Lytechinus pictus: one gene and its partners. The protein of the gene in region 2 interacts with the protein of the main gene of each other region in a pairwise test. Links are inferred from orthologs where the notes say so. Each region holds a gene or a part of one and is shown on either strand. Other genes may lie near its edges.

What was found.
Region 1: the proteins of huntingtin-like (region 2) and osteoclast-stimulating factor 1-like interact in binary tests that used the Homo sapiens proteins (3 or more experiments, as listed by UniProt). The link is inferred for Lytechinus pictus from reciprocal best matches to the Homo sapiens genes HTT and OSTF1.
Region 3: the proteins of huntingtin-like (region 2) and 26S proteasome non-ATPase regulatory subunit 4-like interact in binary tests that used the Homo sapiens proteins (3 or more experiments, as listed by UniProt). The link is inferred for Lytechinus pictus from reciprocal best matches to the Homo sapiens genes HTT and PSMD4.
Region 4: the proteins of huntingtin-like (region 2) and tetratricopeptide repeat protein 23-like interact in binary tests that used the Homo sapiens proteins (3 or more experiments, as listed by UniProt). The link is inferred for Lytechinus pictus from reciprocal best matches to the Homo sapiens genes HTT and TTC23.

The regions. Positions count from the first base shown.
Region 1 is NW_026974140.1:5,291,263-5,298,161, reverse strand, and holds the start of osteoclast-stimulating factor 1-like, read left to right. Parts: upstream 1-3,869; 5' UTR 3,870-3,987; coding exon 3,988-4,036; intron 4,037-6,899.
Region 2 is NC_087256.1:7,276,420-7,283,523, reverse strand, and holds the start of huntingtin-like, read left to right. Parts: upstream 1-4,072; 5' UTR 4,073-4,179; coding exon 4,180-4,301; intron 4,302-7,104.
Region 3 is NC_087256.1:4,230,017-4,237,164, forward strand, and holds the start of 26S proteasome non-ATPase regulatory subunit 4-like, read left to right. Parts: upstream 1-4,118; 5' UTR 4,119-4,196; coding exon 4,197-4,222; intron 4,223-6,157; coding exon 6,158-6,298; intron 6,299-7,148. UniProt on the Homo sapiens protein: Component of the 26S proteasome, a multiprotein complex involved in the ATP-dependent degradation of ubiquitinated proteins.
Region 4 is NC_087247.1:10,752,555-10,759,507, forward strand, and holds the start of tetratricopeptide repeat protein 23-like, read right to left. Parts: upstream 3,002-6,953; 5' UTR 2,808-3,001; intron 1-2,807. UniProt on the Homo sapiens protein: Participates positively in the ciliary Hedgehog (Hh) signaling.

The DNA of each region.
Region 1 (6,899 bases), on a different chromosome or scaffold from region 2:
AAAATTCTATATTCAAAACATCGAAAGCTTTCGTGAAGTCTGCTAACATAATAGCACCTGTTTTACAATGCTTATTGAAAAAACCAATAACATCTTTTGTTAACCTTACATTACAAGCTGATAGACGAGACGACCCTTTATATACCCAGTTTGATTTTCATGAGTAATTTCGTCAACAACCTTATGGACTCTGACAGCTAGGACAGCTGCTATTATTTTGTAATCACAGTTCAGCAATGTAATAGGTCTCCAATTCTTAAGTTCTTTACAGTCACCTTTTTTGAATAATAAAGTGATAAGACCTTTTCGCTGAGTATCTGACATAATTCCTGACATGTAGCAGTCATTCAGACTTTCTACAAGGAGGTCTTTCAACAAAGACCAAAACATTTGATAAAATTCAATCGAAAGTCCGTCTGATCCGGGTGCCTTATTTTTTTGCTTTGCAAATATAGCAAGTTTACATTCTTCATGTGTTAACAATCCTTCACATATCTGTTTACTTTCATTTGTTAATTGATGCACGGTTTTAGATGATACGTAATTTTTCATACAATTAATGTCATTTTCTTCACATTTTTTTTTCTATATAATTCTGAATAAAAATTTACAACCTCTTCTAAAATATCTTCATTTCTAGTTATAACTTTCTGATCCTTTTCACGTTTCATTTGTGATATTTCTTTTTTCTTAGCATTATTTCTTTCTAACCCGAGAAAGTATTTGTTACTTCTTTCTCCTTCTTCCATCCATCTTACTCGAGCCCTAATACCAGCTCCTTTACAATCATGTTTATACGTTTTCTCTCATTTATCTTTTACATCAATATAGTTTTTATGCACATTTTCATCATCAACATTAACATCCATTTGTTTACTTAAAGGAGAATGAAACCCTTGAAACCAGCTGAATCCATATCAAAGAGAAAAATCAAAGAAACATATTGTTGAAAGTTTGAGGAAGATTGAATGAATAATAAGAAAGTTATGAGCATTCGAATATTGAGATCACTAGTGCCATGTAGATCCTCCCAACGGCAATGCGACCAAGATCTGTGATATCACACACGTACAACTCCCTCATTACTTTAGTACTTATTTCACTTATATTCTCACTTTTATAGAGTCTATCACAAGGTGAGGTGTTCTCTTTATGAGATGACAAGTACAGAGGTTTCACAACATTATATCATTGATGAATCGTTTGTCATATGATTAGAATGAGCAAAAAGAGATGTTTTGGGGTATATTTTCAGTGTCCAAATGGGAGAGTTGTACGTGTGTGACATCACAGATCTTGGTCGCATTGCCAATGGGAGGATCTCCATAGCATTAGTGATCTCGACATTCAAATGCTCATAACTCTTTTATTGCTAGTCCTATTTTTCTCAAAGTTTTGTTGATCTTATTCTTTGATTTTTCTGCTTTCACAAAAGCTAACTTGCTCCAAGAGTTTCATTCTCCTTTAACTCACACAGGTCATTTTCTAATGATAACTTTATAATCCAGTAGATGGCACTAGCTTCAGGTCAACTCCATTTACCCACATGGTGATAACATAGAACACTGTACAATATATGTTATTATTATTCATTTTTTATTCCATTTTAAGTCCAGACATAATACACAAAGCAGATTTTGATACAAAGGTAAAAGTAATCGAAGTTATGTAGTAAACGTATGTTGTAGACAAAATAATTGCTAACTGTCATATCTTCGCTGTAACACAATCCATGTATAGACCTATGGCTGGTATGAATATTGACGATGGAAATAATAGAGTTCAATCTGTCATTTATGTTGACGGAGTTTTCAAGTTCTTGGATTATTTTGTTGACAAGGTGGTGCTGTGCCTTTAGTTGTAGACTCCATCCTCACTCTCTGTTTCTTCATCATCGTCGTCATCGTCACCTCCATCTGGGAACTGGAATAAACCATCAAATTGTGGACCATGCCTGGCTAAGACTCTTTGTACGGCTTTCTGGAATTCCATGCCATTTTCTAATCTTTCCTTGAGATCAGAAACGATCTCGTGATTGATGCCTGCTTCTCCTAGGCTAACGTTCTGCTGCAAGAACTTGGAGTAAAGATCGAAAAAGATGCGTTTGACGGCCCACAGTATTTTCACGTGAGCCTTTTCTTTAGCGTCTTCTTCTTCCATTCCCTCTGAGATATATTTCTGATATTTTTCGTCTCTCAAGTCCTTGGTGGCTGTCATGGCCTGCTTTAACCATACTCGGTAAGCAATGTTGTCTTCAATTTCATCTACGTTATCTGTCTCTGACATTGACGATTCATCCTCTCCTTCGTTTTCTGAATCACTAGATTCTTCAACTCCCTGAGTTTGAGAGGATGGTTCGGAGTAATCATCCTCACTTGTACCTTCTTCAGCGTAGGAAGATTCAATTTTGCCTTCATCTTCTGTATCAGTGTGAGCTTTTTGTTCATGCCTCTGCATATCAAACTTTCGACTATAGGTCCTCTGGCATTGGGAACAAGTGAGGATGATTACTCCGAACCATCCTCTCAAACTCAAACGTCGAACATCTATTTGGCCTCCCTAGGTCGAACATCAATTTGGCGCCCCCAATTGGAACATCAAATTGGCGCCCCTAGTTCGAATATCAATTCAGCGCCCCCTAGTTCAAACATCAATGTGGTGCCCCTAGTTCGAACATCAATTCGGCGCCCCCCTAGTTCGAGGAACAATTCGGCGCCCCTACATGTAGGTCGATCATCAATACGCCCCCCCCCCCCCGTTCGAATATCATTTCGCCCCCCCAGCTCGAGTATCAATTTGGCGCCCCCCTAGTTCGAACATCAATTCGGTGCCCCCCTAGTTTGAGTATCAGTTTGGCGCCCCCCTAGCTCGAACATCGATTCGCCCCCCCCCCCCCAGTTCGAGTATCAATTTGGCGCCCCCAGTTCGAACATCATTTTAACATCCCTTCGAACATCATTTCGGCGCTCGAATATCAATTCGGCGCCCCTACATGTAGGTCCAACATCAATTTGGCGCCCCATAGTTCGATTATCAATTTGGCGCCCCCTAGCTAGTTCCAACATCAATTCTGAGCCCCCCTAGTTCGAGTATCAATTTGGCACCCCCCCCCCTAGTTCGAACATCGATTCGGCCCCCTTCCCCCCCTAGTTCGAGTATCAATCTGGCGCCCCCAGTTCGAACATCATTTTAACATCCCTTCGAACATCATTTCGGCGCCCCTACATGTAGGTCAAACATCAATTTGGCGCCCCTAGTTCGAATATTATTTCGCCCCCCCCCTAGCTCGAGTATCAATTTGGCGCCCCCCTAGTTCGAACATCAATTTGGCGCCCCAATGTCGAACATCAATTCGCCCCCCCCCGTTCGAACATCAATTCGGCCCCCAATTCGAACATCATTTTGACATTCCTTCAAACATCATTTCGGCGCCCTTTTGGTTCAAACATCATTTTCTTTCCTGCTCTTCCTCTTTTTTTCTCCTCTTCTTCCTTCCCCCTCTTCCTCTCTCTTTTCCCCTTTCTCTCTCTTCTCTTCTTTCCTCCTTCCTCTCTCTTTTTTCTCCTTTTCCTTTCCCCCTCTCCCCTTTCCTCTTTTCTTTCCCTCCTTTTCCTCTCTCTTTTTTCTTCCCTTCTTCCCCTTCTTCCTTTCTTCTTTTCCTTCCCCTCTTCCCCTCTTTTTTCTCTTTCTTTCCCTCTTCTTTTTTTTTGCCAAGGGGGGGGGGGGGGGAGGGGGGCCAAGGCCCCCTCGGCCCCCCCCCCCCCGTGGATCCGCGCCTGCCATAGCCCCAGACCCGTGAAGAATCGGCTGGCGAAAAGCCACTTCGACTCGCCCTGTTGTCCCTATTTTTTTTTTTTTTTAACGTTAACGATACCGTATAGTAGTATAATTTTTTCAATATTCACTTCCGTGTTTGTTTACATCTTGGAATAGGAATATATTTTGTGTATTCCTTCTATTTAGAGAGAAATTAAAATTGTAACCATTATGACGACACCTGCTAGACCTGCACCTCCAAGACCCCAGCCTAAGCCAGGTAATATTACAATGCTAAAGAAGTAATTGTGGAGGTAGTTTTACATAAGTTACGCTGAGCTGAATGATGCGATATGAAGGCGTTGCAGCCCCGGAAACTCGCCGGGGGTACGGTACAGTACGTACCCGTAGCCAGGCCTACGGCGCGGTGCTGGCTTCTCTTGATGCACGTGATCGAGGAGGCAAGGCTGGTGCACTAACGTTAAACCTCGCACTATGAACATGACAACTGTGTTTACGCAATAGATTTTTGTCGATGTTGATTTCAATGTCTTTCGCTTGGCGACAGCACGCTAATCGCGCGATGAAAATGTGCGAATTGCGTGCTGTCGAAAAGCGAAACCGAAAGACAAATCAAGATGGCGACGTAATTAACACGGTGTTAATTTTTTCTCTTTTTTTAAATTGAATTCTTGTTTAAAAATGAAGTTGATATCGTAGAAATGTCGGAAATGAAGTTGTATCCCATGTACCAGTAGTCCCCAGTACATGATTTATTTTAGGGCTAGACCTTTTACTTTTTAGAAGGAAAGTAGAAATTTTGGGGGCAAAAGTTTGAGGTGTTTTGGCGGTGCGTGTACTGTAGACAGTAGAGGCGCACGGCCAATATGGGAGACTAACTCCAATAGGGGAGACAATCTCCCAAATTGGAGACTTGCTTTGCAAAAGGACAAAAGAAACAACACCAACAAAAGCATGATTTTTTCCACCCAAAATTTTGTCTCACTGAGGTCAGAAGCCCATTTGTTTTGTGTGTGATTTACAACAAAAATCCTTATCAAAACAAAAGTAGACGGTGAATTTTTAAAGTAGACAGTGAAAAGGGGTAATTTTTCATGAGGAATCCGCTTATCACATTTTTATTTGCCGCCAAGGTAATCCTTTTGCAGCAAATGTAAACAAAGGAAATTGGTCTCCAAAACTGGAGACTGTCTCTGAAATTGGATACCCAAATTCTTTACAAAAGTCTCTGATATTGGAGATAATCTCCCACATTGGAGACAGTCTCCAATATTGGCCGTGCGCCTCTACTGGTAGATTAATGCAATCGAATCCCTGGCCTTGCTTCGTTGAGAGTAAGCATACGTTAGTACATGATTTTTACTCTCTAGAGGCCTCCTGGTTAGGTTTGTCGAAGGACTTCAATTTCAATTTATTATTTATTTCACTCAATAAAAATAACATTTCTGCCAAAATGTCAGAAAAATCCACATTCCATACCAATGAAATGCCTTCCCAAAGTATTTACTTTCTCAAGAGTGGTTTAAGAAATCATTTATAAACAATAAAGAAAGAAATTATCTGCTTATTTTTGGCTGGAAAAGACAGAGCTTCAAAAGAAACCACGTATCAACACAGGTGGGTCTGTGATGTACTCACCTATGTGTATTTGTGTGTATTGATTCATTTGATACTTAATCTTTTTTTATAGTCAAAAGAGAGGTGACAATTCCTCCTTTTATGCTTGCAAATGATCAGGGTACACCAGATTTTTAATAGCAATATGGACTATATTGGTGTAAAATATGACTTTTACTTAGATTTTCAAAGTTCTGTGAAAGATTTTTTAGCAGCAAGATTTCGTATCGCAGCTCCCTGAGTGCATAGGCTGCTAGCTAGCTGCGATTGGCTTTAAGCACTGCCGCAGCTGAATATATCTATGCTAGAGCGGTACTGTCATAACAAGACTGTATGCAAAATTTTTGTTTGTGAATCAAAGAAAAAGGCATGTGACGATCTGGCTTGCAATTTGAACTGTAGAAAGTTGATAAATTATGTGCAAAATCGGGAGAAAAGTTGTGCTATTTTAAAATTGATTGGTTGCCCGATTCAAGCACCAAAATTTAGCATTTTTCAAATTTGGTTGCCTGAGGTAAGGCCAACCGGGAAACGGCTAATGTCAAGCCTTGAAATCGACCTACTGTAGATCTTTATAAAATTTTAATTCTAAGTACAAGTGTAGAAATTTCTGCATGATATTCTCATTGTAATGTCAATTGAGATTGGGCATGGCATGTCAGATACATTTGGGAGAAAAACTCAAAATACAAGGTGAGACCTATTTCATTTTCATGGCATTTTGTTTATTTGACCATTTAAAATCAACAAAGTACATGAACATGATGCGTGTAAGAATGAATAGATACCATACATAAATAACAATTTATAAATGGTTAGGACCGAAAAGAAGAAAAACTGCTTATAAACTATGCCCTACATAAAAATACTCATGTATAGACTCTACACACCTCCCTATCACATGCGTTTATCGATCCATTGAACACATACACAGCTTGTGATCATAGAGGAAATAGAATATGATAGAGAGCGATAAAAGAAGATGAAAGAAATGAATAACCTACTCAGCCATATAAAAAATTACTTTAAATACATATTTCTTGTTGTACTTAAAACTACTAATTTAGTACTAGATCTTATATTGCAATGTTGACTGTTCTATTCATGTATCCCAACAAAAGATAAAAATCATAGAGCAATGTTGAATGACAAAGAGGAATGTGCAAGTTTTTGCTTTGACGAGTTGGGTAATTATGAACTGTAGAATATGTTTTGAACATGTAAAAACGTGCAGTAAAAGGTTTTTGTGAAATTTGAACATGAATAACAGTGTTTTAATCTTTTTCAAGTAAGTTGCAGTTCTATGATTTTCAGTTTTAAAAAACAGTGACATACCAAGTTGAGGATAAATAATGCTGTTTGTAATTAACAGGGCTACGTGTTTCTGTATTTGTAGGTATTTCCTCAAATGACATTGCAATAATTTAAATGGGAGAGGATTTATGAATTAAATATTTTAATCAATTTGTTTGTTGGGAGAATATTTTTTAACTTAAACACAAGAC
Region 2 (7,104 bases):
GATCTTGCCATCTGATCATCTCTCACACAGGATGTAGACATGACGAGATCCAAGATCTTGCCATCTGAACATCTATCCCACAGGATGTAGCCATGACGAAACCATCTGATCATCTTTTCTATAAGATGAAGACATGACAAAATCAAGAATCTTGTCATCTGATCATCTCTCACACGAGATGTAAACATGACGAGATGATTATATGAACATCTGGATGGCACTTTTAACCTTCCATACATTAGGCCTATATAAAAATCCAACTTTATCTCGCGCTTCGCGCTCGCAGTGGCTGTTGCGTATAATAATAAGCGATCTACTCAATGGGGCTTAAAATATCAAATTTTCAAGTCAATCTGCACAAATCATTCTTCTCTTTATTTGATTTTTGCAAGATACACATCCTGTTCTAAAGTGCTAAATGAAAAAATATCAGCTTGCGCTAGGCGCACCCATCAGTTGTTTAATTAGATACCCACCCTGTTCGTGGTTTTAAAAATGTGCTTAGAACGTTAGTTATCAACTCGGAATATTAAAAAAAAATCAGCTCGCGCTTTGCGCTCCTATTATTTGTTTGTTGAGACATCCTTTTTCATAAGTCACTGCAAACAGTCCTTAACAGGTATCTTTTTAAGTCAATGAATAAAAATAAAAAATAAAAATCAGCGCGCGCTCCGTTCTCGAATATACAAAAACTGCGCAGAATGTTCAATTTTCGGGTCTAATTAATACATAAAATATTTTTGAAAGAATTGAGCTCAGCTCGCTGCGCATTATTCATTTAGGCCATGCGAGATACATTATCTTGTTTGTAACTATAAACTATGCTAATCTCCAGTCTTAGTTAGGACCATGGCCCTGGGAAGCGGGGCCGCTGGGGGTGATGCGTGTATTATTTTCCATATAGGCAGCACCCCCTGGTATTGGAAGGTGAGACGAAATTGAAAAATGTAACAAAAATTACCTAAATTTTGTACAGACCCTCACCCTAGCTTTTTTTTTTGGGGGGGGGGGGGGGTTGTCAAATTTCTGCGGACTCAAATTACTTTCATTTTGTAGTATTTTTTTTTGCTTGTCAAATTTACATCAGCACCCCCAATCAAATAATCGTTCCCATGACCCTGGTTAGGACTCCCCATTCTATAAAACATAAACAAAACTTAGCTTCTAGGGGGTGATCGGGGATATAATGTGCATGAAAATAGTTTTACTCCCTCTTTCCTATTGAGTATTGGCAGTCGAAATCCCGCTTTATAAACTGTAATAGAAACGCCTATGTGTGATCTGCCCCTGGACTCCTCGATCCATACCCCAAAATGTGATTCCAAGCACCCAAGTCACTAAAACTCGCTCTTCACACTTGATTCTGTGAAATACGCAACAACAAAACAAATCCCTTCTTCCCCCATACTTTTCGTTTGCCCTTAGTCCCCCCAGTTTATAAATCCTGATGCCGCCACTGTAAAAATGATTCACATCTCACTATAATCAAATAATGAGAGCGCGAAGCACAAGCTGTTGGTTTTTTTTTCATATTCCGACCTGAAAACTAGGTACTTTTTGTAACCATGAAATGTACAGGTATACCATTTATGCGGACGCGAAAAAAAACCCTGTTGAACAAAATATACGAGCTCGAAGCCCTAGCTATTTGGTTTTTAGATTTTAATCTAAAAATGGGACATTCCGCTATGCACTTTTTGTAATCATGAAAGGATTGTATCTAACTAGATAATAATAGCGCGAAGCCAGAGTGTGTTTTTTATGTGTTGAAACGAAAGAATCTAAACATTTAAACACTGTTTAACATGCAGGAAAATTGTGAAGAGGATATGGAACTCACATGATGCGAGCGCGAAGCGCTGGTTGAAAATTTTAGCCGATTTATACCTATAAACGGGACATTTTAAGTACGTTTTGTAATCATGAACAGGATGCTTATCTTCAATGCCGTGAATGCAAAGCGCGAGGCTGCTAGCTTTAATTAAATACTTGATGTTAATGATCTGAAAAGGGACCATTCAATGGCATTCAGGAATTTTAATCAAAAGGATATTCGTATCGCATTAAAATGAGAGCGCCTCAGGCTCATGCAAGGCCCAGTACTGGCGAGGCCGCAAGCTGACTCATTTCTAGTCCAGACATTATTTTATGTAATTATGAACTAGATGCGTATCACACTCAAACAAAATAATGAAAACTCGAATCTCGAGCAGAATAATTTGTAATTATTGACTTGAAAACGTGATACTTTTCGGCCTCATAATCCCTCATAATATCCTCTTGAGCAGATTACTGTCTCACTCTAAAGGCATTGCGAGCGCGAAGCGCGAGCGAAAATTTTATGTTTATATGACTCAATTAAAAAAAATCCTTTCCTCCCCCTCTCTCCTTCGTTTTTTCAATTTTCCCCCTTTTTTCCTCTTTTTTTGCTTTACTAACTCAGGGGGGGGGGGCGCTTCGGCCCTCTGTGTCCGTCTATATGTAAGAATTGAGTAGATAAGGATAGAAAATGATATGATGAACATGATACAATACATGGCCACATGGCCCCCAGTCCCAACACTTTTATCCTTTAGTTGTTCTATCCTGGACCGGAAAGCTGTGGGTATTTCAAACTTAACATTGGATTTGACAAAGTTACGAGGATTTATACAATTTACTGAGGCGAACTTGAAAGTCCTATAGGAAAAAAGAATAGAACACGAACCTTTACATATTAATTTTTTGTTGCAGTACAACATAATGGACAAAAGTAAAACACCATGGGTCTCATTTTGACTGTGGAACGCCGCCATTCATTTAACAGTTTATAGAAAATACACAGCATCAATCAAGGTCTTGAAATTCAATAACCATCTCTCTTCCAGACCTTTCCTATATACCACATTGAATTTTCATACTATTGTGATATCCATAAAGGAAAATACCAATAATTTAAGAATGTGGTAGGACACCATTTTTTCATAGCGTTAAGTTGATCTTTGCATAATATAGTTAACTATTCAAGAAATGAATTTGTGTTCTACATTGTGAGGAGCTAGCTATTCCATCTATGTCAGAAATCGAAACAAGTTTGATTAATTTTTTAAAATACACATGTAGATAGATAGATGTTTCTCATGTCCACATAAATTTACATGTATGTTTTTATTGAAATTCACCGAATATCACAGGCAAATAAATAATGGGATCACTGTGCGATTCTCATAAAATAATACAATTTTAATGAAATGTATAGGGCTAATTGATAAAATAATAATACCAAATTTAATTTTCTTGAATATAGATAGACAATTAGATGGTTTAAGAAGTTCGTTGTGTCAAGAGCCGAAATGTGATGGATACAAACGGCAATTATTGATACTTAATCCAGCTGGTCTATATGATATCATTTGATCTTTAAAAAATACTAAGATTAGTAAGTAACGTATAATTTTGTTGTGATTTATGTCCAAAAGTCTAAAAATTAGCAAGTGTTTGTTGTGTCTCAATATCACACAGCTGAATTCCTTTTTTTTTTTGGGGGGGGAATAATAATACCAAAATTAATTTTCTTGAATATAGATAGACAATTAGATGGTTTAAAAAGATCGTTGTGTCAAGAGCCGAAATGTGATGGATACAAACGGCAATTATTGATACTTAATCCAGCTGGTCTATATGATATTATTTGATCATAAAAAATACTTAGATTTTAGTAAGTAACGTATAATTTTGTTTTGATTTATGTCCAAAAGTCTAAAAATTAGCAAGTGTTTGTTGTGTCTCAATATCACACAGCTGAATTCCTTCTTCTTTTTTTTTTTTGGGGGGGGGGGGGATTTTTGCGAGACCTAGAATGATGTTCACGCCCCTTAGGGGTTAACAAGTACAGAGAGCACATGCCCATTTTTTTTCTCTAGGTGATTATACTCCATACCTCTATCTATGATATAGTCCCACTATCTAAGTTATGTTTAAAGAAAAGAAAATTACTTTAGTTTTTATGTAAAACTGAGACCTCAGCTTGCTTTTTATATCTTCATTTATTTCACCAAATTTGCATGAACAAAATGCGAAGCAGATATCTGCCGCCCTCTTACGTTTAAAGATGACTAGCTTTTGGATTACCGTGAATTCGCCTGCGATGATGGTGGAAATTTCAAGATAATTCGTGAATTCTGACTACAACCGGTCATCATGAATCGAGCGGTCAGTGTATCAAACATGGAGAAGCTGGCCAGGTCCTTTGAGGCCTTGAAAAATCACCAGCAGAGCTCGACATCAGTCGACGATACGACGAGCACTGGCAAAGATGCAAAGTGAGTATCGAGAATCACTCCCACTGACTCACCTGACTGTCACTGCACTGTGTGCACTGTGATTGAATGGAGATTGTGAATGTGTGAGGGGGGATCAATTGAATGGCAGAATGCACAATGAATGCAAATTGCAATATGTAGGCGTGACTGTCATGACTGTGACTGTGTGAGCCTTGTGTCTTTGTGAGACAGTGTATGAAATGATTTTGCACTAGCTTGTGCCTAGCCAGGAGTAAAAATCATTAACTAAATTAAATATTCTCCACGACTACGGGCTCGCGGAGCCAGGAATTGTGCCCATCATGTGCGTAGTATAAGTAGGACGATCAAAGTTGCAACTTTCGCCCCCGAGATTTCTACCTTGTAAAAGTTCTTGCCCTAAATCATGTAAATGGGCTAGAACTTCATTTCCAATAATTATGCATTATTGATTACATTTTTAAAACAATGTAAATTAAAAAAACAAAACAAATTTATTATGAGAAGATTGGATGTAACGTACCGATGTTTACGTTGCCATCTTGCCCTCTTTGTTTGTAGCTAAGCTACGACACGCAGCAGCACAATATCATGTCGCCCTCTATATGCGTGTCATATACATTTCAATTTGTTTATATTCATTCAAAATTTAAAACAATATATACAAGGTAAACAAATTTATAATGAAATAAAATGCAGAGACAGCTTAAAGTGATCATTTCACTTTGTTCTGATTTAAAAAATTCTCCTTTTGGTTCCTGAAAATGGGCTAAACATTAGGCTTATAGTGTAAAAATACCATCCCAAAAGTTTCAAAGTATTATATTTACAGGATCAATTTTAAAACCTTGGAGATGTAAACCAAAGTTTGAAATAATTGGGAGTTGGTTTCAATGACTATGTGTATACAGGGAATCTGTGCACCACAACACATTAATTCTAGATGAACACAGCATGACCTACATACAGTGTGTACAAGGTATACACTGAATGTACAGTACAGCTAATAGTGTGTGTATAGAAGATACACACAACAGAAGGCAGGCAAAATAGCCAACAGACTTTTTGAATTGGAGAAAACTGGTCATAAGCTGAACCCGTCTACTAGACGGTTCTCAAAATCAGGCTAATAAATTGCTACTTGTATCTAAATTAGAGTTTTTCATCCTATATTGTGGTCTGTTTCAGGGTTTTTGAGGACAAATACAGGCACTCATACGCACGTTTCAACTCAGTTTGAGAATTTTTTAAATCAGCTGCTCACAAAGTTAAACGATCCCTTTAATATAACAATGTCTTATAATGCTGCCACCAATATTTTCCATCAATTGTAGGGTGGCCTAGGGCTAACATTTAGGCATGGTCTATCCAAAAAGAGTTGTACAACATACACGTGTTCACCCCCTGCTTGCCTGTATAGATCTGCCCTGAGCCAGATCACGATTTTAACCTTGGGGGTTTATTTTGCATACATGTCTACATACTTGGTTTGCATGGCAAAGAGAAATAATGAATATTCTAATAAGCACAGACAACCAATAAAATAATTTATGAATATACATAGAACATGAAATATGAATAGCTGCTACTGAATATTCAAGGCTCCACATTAACTTTTTTCGGTGGTGGCCCGTTCAGGCCACCAAAACCTTCAAATAATTTTTTTTGGTGGCCCGATATTGAAGTTTGGTGGCCCGGAAAATATAAAGCAAAAAACATTAAACATTCTGAAAGATTAATTCTGCAGCCACTACCACTAAGTTACTTTCACTTTGTACATCTTGTGTGTAAACCTTGTTTGCTGTATTTTACTTTGCTAATTGATTTGTGGTAAAATATAGATTGTTCTAACTTCTATCATTTATATGAAATGATTGAAAGAGAATAAATGAATTGTGTGGACTTTAAAAAAAATCTCCGTATAGACACAGATTCATAATGGAAAAGTAAATAAATACTGCATAGCAAACTCAGATAGATGTACAAAACAATGATTTTTCCTTTCTTCCTCTTTGAATCCTAAAATCTAGATTATGGAGGCCCCAAATCCAGTTAATTTTTTTCTCTTTTGCATCATATTATAGCAGGAGAAAATCACAGAAAAATATGCTGCAAAATTAGAACAATGCATAAAAGGGGGAAACAAACAAAAATAATTTTCAAAAAGTATATTACAAAAAGGAAACAATAATAATAAAAGAAATAAGTGAAATAAAACAAAAGAAAGAAAATGAAGAAAAAACAAAGAACAGGAAAAAATTAAAAGAAAAAGAGAAAAAAGATTTAGACTATAAAATAAACAAAAGAAAATAAAAGAAAAATGAATCAAACAAAATTTATATAAAAATGGGGGAAAGGAGGAAAAATTAAGAAGCCATTACAAATATTTTTTAACAGTCTATTCTGACTGGAATATAATTAAAAGCCAAGCAAATAATTTTCACTTATCTTTTGGTAATGGCGCATTTCTATTTTTATATCCTTTAGTTTGCATTATTTTTTAGTAGAAACATTCTTTAATCAGGCTTATTCAATGGGAAGGGGCATAAAAAAATGAAAGAAAAAAAAAGAAAATGACATAAGTTATATATCCTGGAAGAAAAAAGTGTGAGAAAAGTCATTCCCTATATTTGCCAAAATGTTGGAAAAATTCACATTTCATATTAATGAAATGACTTCCCAAAGTATTTACTTTCTCAAGAGTGGTTTAAGAAGTCATGTATAAACAAGAAAGAAAGAAACTGTTTATTTTTGGCTAGAAAAGACACAGCTCCGAAAGAAACAAAGTATCAACATACATACAAATGCACACATGGGACTGTGA
Region 3 (7,148 bases), about 3.0 Mb from region 2:
CTGCCGCACCGAATGGGCAATGACCCTTGTCTGCAGCTGAATTCCGTCTCCCTCGGCCTCCCAAGCGAAATTCAAGATAAAAAAAATCTGAACTGTGCGATAACTGTATAAAATACTTACCAACAGCATACTTTGCCTCCTTTGTTGGAACCCACCCCGTCATTGTGTCATGCATATATTCCAATTTACTAGCAAAGAAGAGAAAATCTGCTTCCAAACACCGTCTCAGCGCGCCGGTAGATGCTCCTCTCACTTCACCGAACCTCTCCCGACGTCGCCATGTTTGATGAGTGAGTGATCCGATTGTCAAGTCATGTGATTGGAATTTATCCAATCACTCATGCGGAATCCCGCACATTATTGAAGGGATTCAGGGAAATCCCATACAAGTTTTTTGTTGTAGTAGTATTGCTCAACTCCACAACCCCGGGGGGGCCAGTTCCATTCACGAGTGGATACCATGCGCGACCATGGGGTCTCGAAAAGCACCCTAAACACGTAATTTCCATATTCTGAAAATGCACCCCTTAACAAGTATTGGCGTGTGAAACCCTACCCTTAACAAGTATTGGAAACAAAACGATACCCTTGGCAAATATTCCCTGAAATGAACCCCTAAACAAGTACATGAATGTTTTATTGTTACGGGTCTTTCGGTCGTCGGCTTTACCTAATTTGGTTTAGTACGACCGCATCTTCTACATCTCGCGAAAATTGGACTCTAAACACGAAGTGTTGGGGCAAAAAGGACATCCTTTATAAAACATTTTAATTTTGTTTTATCATCCCCGCAAATTCGACCCTAAACACGTAATTGTCCTAGCGAAATAGATACCCTTTTTTCATTATTTTTGTGTTTTTGACACCCTTATCACGTTACGTACGTAACGTGCCCTATCGTGAAAAGGACATCCTTTTTACGTGTTTTTTTGGTCGCGCATGGTATCCACTCGTCAATGTAAGTGGCCCCCCCGGGTCCACAACACATGCCCTCAACAACAACATCAACGCCCACGACAACAACCGCGGCGACAACTTCCGCAATAATTATATTACACTCAGCTCATCGCCAAAGGGAGTAAGATGGTGGTTGATGACCCGGAGTGCCTAAGATGGTGATGATTTGGTTGTTGTGAGTGGTGGTCCGAGTGGTGGTGATGGTGGGGGGTGGTGGTGGTGTCGGTGGTAGTGATGGGGTGGGGATTATGGTTGTGGTAGACGTGTAGGCCCACCGGAGTGCAGGTAAACCAGATGGTGGTGATTTGCTTTCAGTATATTCATGGATGTTTCATGCCGGGGATTCATCGGGTTTCATGACAGTGGTGGTAATTATGATTATGACAGTTGTGATAAAACATGGTGGTGATAATCTGTATGATGATGATGGTGGTGGTGGTGATGTTTTCTTGGTTAGAATTTTAAACAAGTTGTTTAAAAACCTTCAAATAATCAAATAATTGTGTAAAGTCTTAAAAACTTGTTACAGCATTCATAGCTCGAGAAAGTGCTATATATATATATATATATATATAATCTTTCACAAGAATCATCAGTAAAAGTATAACGAATGCGCTGTATATTTAGTGAAGTGTTATTCAATTTATAACAAAAACTTAGGACGGAATCTTTTTAATTCCTTGCCACCTTTATTTCGAAATTTATCTGCCTTTCTTTTGTTGTTTTGCTAGTTTATCCATGGAGCTAGGGGACATGGTTTATCTATAATTTGCCGTATACTATAATGAAAGATCCTTGAAAAGGGTGGATTTATAGATGGCGCTATACTAACATTCTGCCCTGGCTGTCTCGAGGAGAGATCCATCAAAGAAGAAAGATAAGATTATAGATGGAATTTTAAGTTAGTGTGATAAAAAAAATGAAATATTGTTTTGCATACTGGGCCATTTTTATCTATTTTTTTTTTAATTGTAAAAAGGGAAATGCTTAGAAATTGTAGCAGTACTGATAAAAAGATGAACACTATCAAACGAACATTTAGAAATGCGATCACAAAAAATGCAGCCCGTTATATTTTCAATTTGGTTTTTATTTCATGTCAGTGATCTTTGGCTACTAAAGAGCCTTAAATTAATGTACTATGGTCCGTGTAAAGGGCACTTAAGACGGTCTTTATCAGAAGTGATTAGATACATTGCTTGAATTGAGATCGAGGAACATAATATGCCTTATAGGGACATAATAATTATGTTAGGCCCCTAGACAGAGGGTTCTAATGGAACCCCCGCTGCCATGGACCCGTCCACAGAGGATAAATATACTGTTACTTGGGGTGCTGAGCATTGTCACAGCACCCCAAGTAATAATAAATAATCCTCCTCCTCCGTTGCCAGGTCCATGCCCGCTGCAAACAGGAAAATAGGGGGATATGATATAAACACTAAACAGTTAAAAAAAACTAGCATAGCGCTGAAAATTTCATCAAAATCGGATGCAAATTAAGAAAGTAATTACATATTAAAATTTCGCTTTATTGTTCAAAAACAGTTTTAGCACAACTCAGTGACCTACTATAGAGAGATTCGATTACATTCCTCACTCATAATTCTTTTGCTTTTTATTGTTTGAATTATACAATATTTCAATTTTTACAGATTTTACACTAAGGGCCAACTTGACTGAACCATAAAATGCTACGATAGTAATTTGATATACAAAATATTCATAGATGATTTTTTTTTTCCAACGACATTTTCAAACAATAAAATAACTGAGAAATTGTGAGTTGGTGACGTCATCAGTCCCCTGATACCGACCAGGATGCGCATATAGTAACTGTTTTGTTAAAATAAAACGAAACTTGAAGATTTCATTACTTTTTGATGAAATTTCCAGTGTGTATATGCTCGTTGGATTTTTTTTTTTTTATTCAACTAAACTTTTTTTTAGTTGGGGCGGACTTGTCATTTAAAACTTCAGCTTTATAGTGGCCAATCGGGGGAAAATGTGGACTAAAATATAAATGTGTCCGCCCTATATTGACCAAAGCTGGATCCGCCCCTGAAAAGGCTGAAGCAAACGGAACTGAATATAAACTACAAAGGTTCACTTTTTATAGTTAAGATCCCCCGTCCAAAAGTCCTGGATTCATTTTATTGATGCCTACAAGAAACATTAAAAAAAAAAAAAGATTTTTAAAAGGCCCATGCAAAAAGACCCACACGAATTGAAGGAGACAGTTAGTGGATACAATATTATTATGTGCGGTATATCTAACAATGGAGAAGATGGGGGGAAAAAAACCTTATTCGAATATGTTGGAATAATTGAGGATACTGTTGTGAGGTTGATTTAAAATGTCCTCAATTTATCTGATGCCGAAAACGAAATACTTATTAGGCACAGACGTCCACACTATAGGGTCTACAAAAATAAAACAGTGGCCTGTCAGCCCTGCCCCAAATAGGGCAACTTTTCGCATAGACCAAGGGCCACACTTTTTCATTGTTACAAAATCGGGAGTAAGTCTGCCCCGGCACTCTCACCATGACGCCTTCTCTTCTCTCCTTTTTTTTAAAATTTTTTTTTTTTATTGAATTATTGAGCAACGGGGTCTGAAGAAGTGCGGAATCCTTTGATATTGAAAATAACCAAAGAAAACATCAAAATTACTGTGATAATCATAATCATGATTGCATTAATTTTTTTGACGTATATACTCAGGAGCAGAGGCGTATAATGAGCCTAAAATTTTGAGGGAGCTATAGATGTGGCGTATCGCGTAAAATTTATTTAAAGTTGCGAGGGAGCAAAATTTTTTATATTTTCGTGACAAAAATAGAATTTTGTGATATATGTTAACATAATGTTCAGAAAATGATATCATATTTCATCCGCCTCCTTCTTTCTTCCCTTTTCTCTGTTCTATTCTTGGTCGTACACCAGTGCTCGGGAGCACACTGATCGAAATATTGGTTCACCGACTTTTTTTCTTTATTATTTTTTTCACTTGAACTTTGAACTTTATTGAAATAACGCCTTTTGGTCCCGTGGGAGCAAATTAAGGCTTTAACATATTACATGTACATGATACATGTATATAAAGGTTTAACAATAGTAGTAACGTATTTACAATTATTATACAGCAAAATACAGGTGCCACAGTCAGAGATACGATCTTATAAAAGCGCCCTCTTCGCTAGTAATTAGTCCTGGAAGAACATTAGAATTCAGCAAAAATGCCTCTCGAAAGTACGGTAGTTTGGTAAGTAATGACACTTTATTTAATGAGGAATGATATCTAAATTTGAATATATTGACTTTCAATTTCTAGAGCATGTCGATAAATGTAAATATTGCATTTTAAGCATTTTTTCGGAAGCAATGTTGCTGAATCTTTACGCTCAATGATTATGCATTTTTCATCGTCTTATATCGGTCCCACGAATTGCTTTTAATGTAATGTTTACATTGCTGCGGTGTATTTAAAATCCAATTTATGGGGAAGAGTTCCATATATGCACCCTAGCCAGGAGGCTCCTGGAGATTAATGTCATATCACTGACGTGCTTAATCTCCATGGAGCCAGGGACGGGATGCCATTGCTTTACACAAACCAAGTAATTTGGCAACAATATTAATCATGAATTCATGACCATGTTGCTCCAAAATTAAACATGCAATGTTAGGCAAAAATACACCCTACTCATTTTCTTTACGTTAGGCTTAGCCTTAGGTTTTGTCTTTTGTTTGAGCCCAAACTTATGTTAATGGGCTACAATACTATTTGTAAGCTTTTAGCACTAAAGTCTTAAAGAGATATTTTTTTATATAATTAAACATAATAGAAAATATTAAAAGTAGAGCCAGCACCAGACTCCAGACTCGGAGTCCAGAGGAGCGTTGTCTCAGTCTGTTATTGTCGCCATCTTGCCGTCTTTGCCTATCGTAGCCCACTCACACGTACACGTATTGCGAGGTTAGTTGCACCATGAACCGCGTTTGGCAGTGGATTCCTAACTAGTGGGTCGCGTGTGCTGGGATCCCACTTCTGGTGTCCACAACACACGACTTCTATGGCTTGATTTTTCTGTGCGCGGCGGCATATAATGAACCCTTGAGTGATCGTAGCCTAGCTACAAAGAGGTGTATAGAGGGCAACAATATCATCATGAGCAGTGTCAACTTAGATTTTAAAAAATACTTGCATTGGCCGATAAATATGAATCGTTAAATACTTGGCTTGCATCGGCCGATAAATGTACAATTCATGATACTTCATCGGCTGATAAATATCATGAATCATGATATTTATTGGCCGATGCAAGTAATTTTTTTATCTAAGTTAGCACTGCTCATGATATTGTCGACCTCTATAGGCGTCTTGTAACCAGGCTACGATAACAAAGACGCCAAGATGGCGAAAATAACAGAATGTGAGTAAACGCTCCTCTACTTTTAATATTTTCATTCATTTTATGTGTAATGTTATTTTAAAATATGACTATTTTTGAGCCAAACGGATTGAAATGATATTGTAGCCCATTTACATAAGTTTGGGCTCAAACCCTAAATTAAATGTGCGATTTCCATTAAGTTAGAGCGTGGCAACTCTTACTGTACGTGTAGTGCAATGGCATCCCGTCCCTGGCTCCATGGATATTAAGCACGTCAGTGATATGACATTAATCTCCAGGAGCCTGCTGGCTAGTCTGTGTACTACATGTAGGAGAAATAAAAAAATAAAAAATGTTTAAAAACCCCTTGAAACAGATGGCTGCCAGCTGTCTAGACCTCTATATGTTTGGTGTGAGTTGTGGTGATTGACTGTGCTGGCTTGTGGAATAAGTTTGCCATGTCGAATGGTAGAACATGTCGAAATCTGGGTTTGTTACTCTATAAGCTTTCAATTAAAATATGATTTGTCAATTTCACTTTGGGTCCCGTCAGACTCGGGGTCCTTAATTTCGCTCTTTCTCATCTTGTCTTGCTCTTTTAGCTTGGTCATCTTATTATTGACTGCCAACTTTTTGTTATTAAAGCATAGCCATGAGAGCTATATCTTCACATACATACATGTATGTGAGATTTCAATGTCCCCCTCCTCCATGTAGGTTGAACAAAATTTAAACAGTTTAGAATATCTGATGAAGGCACCGTCCTTTCATATCATTTATGTTGTTTCTGTGTGTTTAAACAGTGTTGACACCAGTGAATACATGCGGAATGGAGATTTTCTTCCAACCCGCATCCAAGCACAGCAAGATGCAGTCAATCTCGTATGTCTCTCCAAGACCCGCTCTAATCCTGAAAACACTGTTGGTCTTATCACCCTCTCAGAGTGAGTATTGTCTTCAATTTTTTTTTAATTGTTATTATTGAATCATGGTTGAAGTAATTCAGCCTTTTGATTAATAGGAGCAGTATGATTTGATTTTTTATTGGTGCATCTTATTATGTCATAATGTTACTTCCAAAATTCTTAGAAATAACATCCAGGGAGATATACATGTAGGTGTCAATGCCATAAAATGCAGGCAAATCATTAAGCAAGTACACAGATGCAAGTTTTCAGACAATGTTCTGCATTCAGATTTTTTTCAGGCCATGAGTTATTTTCATTTTAAATTAATCATTAACTATAATTCTAATCGATTTTTTTTCTCAGGCCCTATGTTATTGATTACGATTCAGCCGCATGTATCTGGCAATGTTGGAATGGATACCATCTGTATAACAGATGAGACCAGAAACATGTATGAGACTAATTATGCAGTAGGATGCCATGGTAGAGAAGATTAATGTATTGTCTGTCTCCAGTGCTGTGATTCTAATTTCATCAATAATTGGAAATATGAAATTTTCCATGATAGACTACTTTAATGTAAAGAGGAAGCTTGATATGAGATATGGGATAAATGGTTTTATTCACTTGGTCTACTTGCAGATGGTCTAATTCTCAGATCATCTTCTCAACACAATGGATCTATTTAATAGTAGACCAAGTGGGTTTAGCCATGATTCATGGCGTAACCCACTTGGTTTACTATTAATTAGATCCAATGGCCACTTTATTCAAACATATCTTGGTCTATTATTGACATTGGGCTAACTACCATTTAGTTTATTGTGCAGATGGTCTTATGTCCACTTCATTTAGTGATTTTTTTTCACTTTGGCAGATGAAAATA
Region 4 (6,953 bases), on a different chromosome or scaffold from region 2:
GAGAAGACTCTTTACATTTTTTTAAAGATATTCTCAATTCGTACATGGTAAAGGGTTCATTAAGGACACTACTACCCTTAGCATCACCAAATGATGATATGATGTCCTCATATTTTTTAACAATATCTATTTGTTCAGGGGTAAAAACTTTGCCCTTAAAACTATCGTTTATGTTTTTAAAGTGGTTGGCGTAAGTATCCGCAACGTCATTGCCAGTAACAACGGAACTATTCTCTCTCATGAGAACAATGTTTTTCCTAGGCGAAATACCATCATTATTGATCCTTTTAATCATATTCCAGATCTCGGATAAAGGGGTAAAACGATCAATGTCTTGACAGTACTTTTCCCAGTAAACTCTTTTGGCTTGCCTTAAAGTTTTCTGGGCAATAGATCTTTTCTTCTTAAAATCCTCCAATAAATCTGGAGGGGGTATTACATAACTTTTCAATTTGCTCCTTACTCTATTTCTCTCCTTTATTTTAGAGGAACATTCTTTATTCCACCATGGTACTGGGTTTTTCTTAATATTCTTGGTAGCTCGATGTCCTTTCAAATTTTCCAGGGTAATCTTAATTGATTCCATGAAAGAATCGAACTCTATGACCTTGCCTCCTTTCTGTAAGGTATTCCACTGCTCATCAGTTTGCCGCCTAAATTCATCCCAATTTACATTCTTTGTGGATAACATTGAACTGATAGACTGAGAGTGGTCGATCTTTGTTTGCGTACCATTCCCTTTCAGTATGTTCAACTGGCTTAACAATGGATAATGGTCACTTCCAAAGCTGTTGTTCAGGACCTGCCACGTTGTTTTGTTCGCTGTACAAGGAGGGGCTAATGTTAGATCCAAACAAGAAAAATTATCCGTGTGGTAGTCTACTCTAGTGGCACTTCCATCATTTAAGATAACAAGATTTCTCTCGTTTGCAAATTCTTCCACTGCTTTGCCATTAGCATCTGTTTTTTTACTGCCCCATAATGTATTATGGGCATTAAAGTCTCCCAATATTACAAAGTTTTTCCCCCTCACATTTTTTAAAAGTTCATTCAGCGAATCTGTGCTAAGTTTGCTGCACGGGTTGTAGAAATTAACTACATTTAAAATCTCATCATCCAATAAAATTTCTAATGATATGATTTCCAGATCATCGTGTTTGATAACACCTTTGTAGTTTAGTGAGGAATGGACGTATATAGCGCAACCCCCTCGGAACCCTCCTTTTCTGTTCCTATATTCACATATATAGTCTGGTATCTGTAAGACCCTCCCCTCTTCTAACCAAGTTTCTTGTACACAAATAATTTCTAAGGGTCTTTTTTGTTGATTCAAAAATCTATTTAGCTCATCCCCGTGGCATTCAAGACCCTGTGCATTCCACTGGAGAATGCTGAATGCCACGAGGGTGATCAGACTAGTAGAATAGGCTGCGAATCGACTGTAAATCAACGTCTGTGGGATGTAAACCCAGAGCATCTTTCAAAATATGTGTTATTTCATCAAATGGATTACAGTCAGGCTTTGTTACTATTCTGATTAGTCTAATAAAGAAAGAAATAAGTGTGATGTCTGAAGCACCTTTCAAGAAATTACTATGCGTTTGGCCTACATTCTCAGACATTTTACTTGTCACCTCTGTTTTGGTAGAAAATTGCGAATCCGAGATGATTTCCATTTCGGTTTGATCAGAAACTGCATTTCCTTTCTGAGTGTTTATTCTATTAATTGGATTTGTTACTTTTTTAATTTCTGCCTTGTTTACAAAATGTTTTCCCTGCTTAATTTCCTCGTTTTGTTCGGAGCGTAGTCTCACTGCTTGCTTTTCCAGCATGTTTTAAATGCTCACAATGAGGCTCAATATCTATGATTTACAAAACTGTTTAAAGGGGAATCCAACCCAAATAAAAACTTGTTTTTATAAGGAAAAGAAAAATCAGACAAGTTGATAGGTGAAAGTTTGAACAATATTGGGCAAACAACAAGAAAGTTATGAGTTTTTAAAAGTTGTAAATATTGGTAATCACTATACCCATGGAGACTTCAAATTGGCCGCATATGGGATGTCATAGTGATGTATTGTAAGGCAAGGACTACTCTTCCATGTACTCCAATACATATTATGGCTAAAATGTAATTTTTTCAAAAAGTTTTTATTTCAAATTATATTTTTCTTTCATGAGGACATAAAACAATATACTACCTGGGTTATATTTAGATTACTGCCCCAGGGGAATGGGTACTTTAGGAGAAAACCACAAATCCCTGATAAATGTTTTTAATTTTACTCTCTGGGCCAGAGAGTAAAAACATTTATCAGGGATTTGTGGTTTTCTCCTAAAGTACCCATTCCCCTGGGGCAGTAATCTAAATATAACCCAGGTAGTATATTGTTTTATGTCCTCATGAAAGAAAAATATAATTTGAAATAAAAACTTTTTGAAAAAATTACATTTTAGCCATAATATGTATTGGACTACATGGAAGAGTCTGGGATTATTAATAATTATTATTGTCTCAACAATATTATTATCATTATTGTCTCATTATCATTATTATTGTCTCATCATTGAAGTGCTGGCTAGTTAGATGTGAGACAAAATTCAGTCTCATCTGCATCCACTGATCTGAATATTCAGATCAGTGAGTGTCTGTATCTCAAACTCAAAGTACACACCGCAACTGCAACAGTACCGGTAGTCGGTACACACAAATAAATATGTGGGGCAATGAAGAAGAACGAATCCTCGGACCTCAATCTTCATCACATAAAAATCTCTTAAACCGGCATTCGATACAATTATCTTACCTTAAAACGATAACATAATATTTTCTATAATCGTAGATGGAATCACATCAATCGAGAGACTTTGCAAGGGCTAATTCGTGCTTCTTTCTTAGGCTTAGCAACGACAAGCCATTCCATTCGTCCTTTTTTCTTAGATGTTATTTAGATAATTTATAAACGTACGTGCTTAGAGGGCGCGCGTCAATTCGTTACTCACAGAGATACGATCTTACGTATATACGTAAGCTCCCGAAGGGAGCTAGACAGTCAGACCGCAGGTCCCTATGCTAATGAGCAAAAAGGCCAGATTCATCCAAATCATCTCGCGGCTGAATCCTCCTCCTTGCAAAATCTCGTGATTCGTGAGATTTTCTTTCTCTAAGAATTTACCTGTTTTAACCTCAAGTTAAATGAGATATTATTGCACCATCAGATAGAGTAAAAGTTACTCTTTCATATTGGTCATTTATTTTGTATACAATATTTTGTTAAATAAGTAAATTTCTGGCCTGAAAATGTGCCTCAAAACTGAATTTTCTTCCTCTGTTTTCTTTTGCAAATTGTGCAAAACTTTTTATTTTGAGCCTCAATGATATCTATATCACCATTAAGCTGAACTTCTGTACTTTCTCACAATGCCACTCTTGATATGCGGCACCTTTTAATCGGGTCAAGATCACACTTTTCCCACCAAGGTACAAGACGAGATTTCTGAAATTTTGTACTTGCAAGAAATCCAGAGTTCTGATTGGCTGGATAAGGTTCACAGAACAACAGGCGCGGGGTATTTGAGGAGATTACCACATGGGAAGTGTGACCTTCCCACGAACCCAGGCACTGGGACCGTTGGAATTTGCCATTGTGTGGTCTCTTTGACCAATCAGAGTGCAGTATTCTTGTTTTCAAACTGCTTTATGTACTTGGCAAATGAAAAGTGTGATCTTGACCCGATTAAACCAATTCCTATTTTGAAACCTATATCATTTCAAAGCATATATATTCAGCTTTATCATGATATAAACATCATTTGGGCTCAAACAAAAATAAAGTGTGAAAATAGCAGCTTTTGTCAGGTGAAAATATTTATTTTGTAGCATATTTTAGATCAAAATTTTAACCTATATTACAAAATCTTTGAATAAATCCAAACACATGACCTAAAAGATTGATTCTTCTTCTTTACAATGGTACCAAATTCATGAAATTCGATGCACAATTAGAGCAGCAATGACCGAATAAAAAGAGGTGTTTTGGTCCGCATCAAGCTCATTAAATATGCGAAACATCTCAAGTCATGAATATCACTTGGATGAAAGAAGCCACTTTCTTGGGACCTGCAGTCTGACTGTAGAGAGGGAACTCTTTCCGCGCGTTTTTATTGCCCATAGGTTTTGTACATAGCCAACATGGCTGCCGGCGGACAATTTGAAGGATGATTTTGGAGGGTCAATGTTTTATTCATGAGAATGACGTCAAAATACGCATAATGCACTTGTATGATTGGATTAAACGCTAATGTTTTATTCATGTACTCATGCATTAAACATTTTTTTCCGTCCCACAATTCCCTACGATATCTGTGCGAAGTGTCGTTCTTTTGGACTCTGCGAATTTCTTTTTTTTAAACGAAATAGCTAGACTAATTATCTGTTTATAGAATTGATGTTCGAAATCATGGTTTCTGAGTGAACTTCATTGGAGCGGAAAATCATGGAGGGAACATCAATACTATTCTAATGACATTCCATAGGAATAAAAGTAAGTTACGCTCATTTTCATGTTTTGATCTCACTTGCAAATTGTAATGTGTTTGCCGGGGTTCGGGGCTCATCGCATCCTGTATTACGCACTATGTAAACCTCAATTTCAATATTTCTTTTGCCTGACTTCCAAATAAGTGTGATCATTAAGTTTCTAAAAAATACTATATCTAGGGGTCTATAGTTTGTCGTAGATCTAGACATTCATCGGAATGCTTCATGTAGGTCCAAAGTAAACCTTTATTTCAGTTTTATTGTGATTAGACAATTATCAGGGGTAGATGTGGACTTGTTTCCGACCTCCTGTTTTTTAGTAACGACAAACTGTCGATTTTAGGCCTATTCAAATTTAGGTCAATGTAGGGATATGGTCAGAGCGGGATCCGGCCTTTGATATCGCTGGTGCTAGCCGGCTAGCGAGATTGTCGATGTAGTCATGGGGTATAAAAATAGCGGGGACGGACTAGGCCCAAACTTCAAGCTTGAAAGTTGAAGTTTAGGCCTAGTCCGTCCCCTCTATTTCATCTTCATATGAATAAGTATAATTCTCAGCAGTTTCTTTTATTCAGGAACGCTTTACTTCAGAATAATCAGTGTTGAAATACGATTGACTTAGCATTAATATCTGTTATGTTAAGTGTTACTTGTCTTACTCTTAGTCTTAGATTTGAATGAAATGGCGTAGCCTACCCTAGACCTAAATCAAGTCTATTTGAACAGGATACCCTGGGCCTGGCCTGGGGTGGTAATTTGAAAACGTTCTTAGTGTTTACTTCATTCAAATGTGATGTGATTCTTAAGTTATACAGGCCCAGCATAGACCAGATTCAGCTATATACAGCTGTAGAAATATGTGGTTGGAATCATTTTACTTTTATAAACAGAGTGAGGTAGGCCTATGCCTCGGCTCTATGTAATAGAGAATGAAGTTTCGGGTCCAGATAACTTTTTTGTTCTAGTTTGGAATATTCATTCATAGACCTGGGATATGGGCAGCTGGAAATTTAAAAAATATTGTTTAAGAAGAGTAATTTTATTTATCTCTAAAACTCTCAAATTTAAATTGTCAATTGCAGATCCAATGGGACCAAGTTCTTAGCAGTTCACACCTAGTCAGAAGTACAAAATTGAGAACCATGCCGATCAGCAAGTGTTAGTTACAATCTAATGAGGAACAGGATATCTGAATGGAAAAAATTGCAAGGTATGCTTACTGTTTTGATAATATACAGGCTGTATCTAAGCTCATCACCCCCCCCCCAAAAAAAAAAAAATAATAAAACCAAATAAATAAATATTTCCCCTTTTTGGGAGGGGGTGGGCTATGGCCAATTGTGCTGAAACATGATGCGATATCATGTAATGTTAAAGTTCCATTGTGAGTTAATATTTGTTTGAATTCAGATTCACCAGTATTTCCATTTCTAACACTGCATACTAATTATCCATATCTCCTGTCTATACATGCATTTGCATAAAAAACCCAAGATATTAACAGTTATCACAAAATTCTGATAAATATTTGAATTAATTTGCACTCTTTATTTTCAAAACATACTGTAGATAGTTATATTGATATATGAATTTATCTGGATGTGGGACGAAAGTGACTGCATGTGCCAAACTTGTTTTATCACTGAAGATATAAAATAGAGTTTACATCTTTTTTTACTAAACTGGACTAGATGAGTAAAAATAATTTACAGCTTATTATGTTCTTTTCTCTATTTTACCCTGCAGGTTTCCCACTTCCTAAGCTGTTTAAGTACTGGTATCACAACATAAGTGCCAAGAAGAGATATGAAACGGTCTAAAAAAAATTTGCTGGTGCCCCCCCGATGCCGTGACCCACGGTACGCCACTGCAAGTCTTCATAAATTATGTATGGTTATTAAGTTGCATTTATTGTTATCTTCATTTTTTAAAAAATGTGAAATGGGCTACCACTGCAATAATATATAAATAGACTATATTTCAAAAATAGATTGAATTCTAACCACAGTGACAGTAGACAAATCAAATTTTGTTAATGATTCGCTAATGTATTGAATGGGGAAGGCACTCTTTAGGATTCTGGCATTGTGTCCCACCCCCCCCCCCCCCCCTTATGAGGAGTGCTCTCACATCAGTAGACTATTTGTCAGCAAATTTGAAAGGAATTTACCAATTTTTTTGAGTGACAAACTTTTGTGGAAGAAAATAAACGAATATCAAAGGTTTTTATGCTCTTTTATGGAATATTAACTATAGGCTCATCGAGATCCTTGAATGAAATTTTAACAAACATTGTACAATGTAGAAAAATGTACTTAATCCTATTTTTGTACATTTATATACCCACCCCATACTATCCTTACTCAGTAACAGCCCTTTTTAGCTATGCATTGCCTTCATTTTTTTAAATACA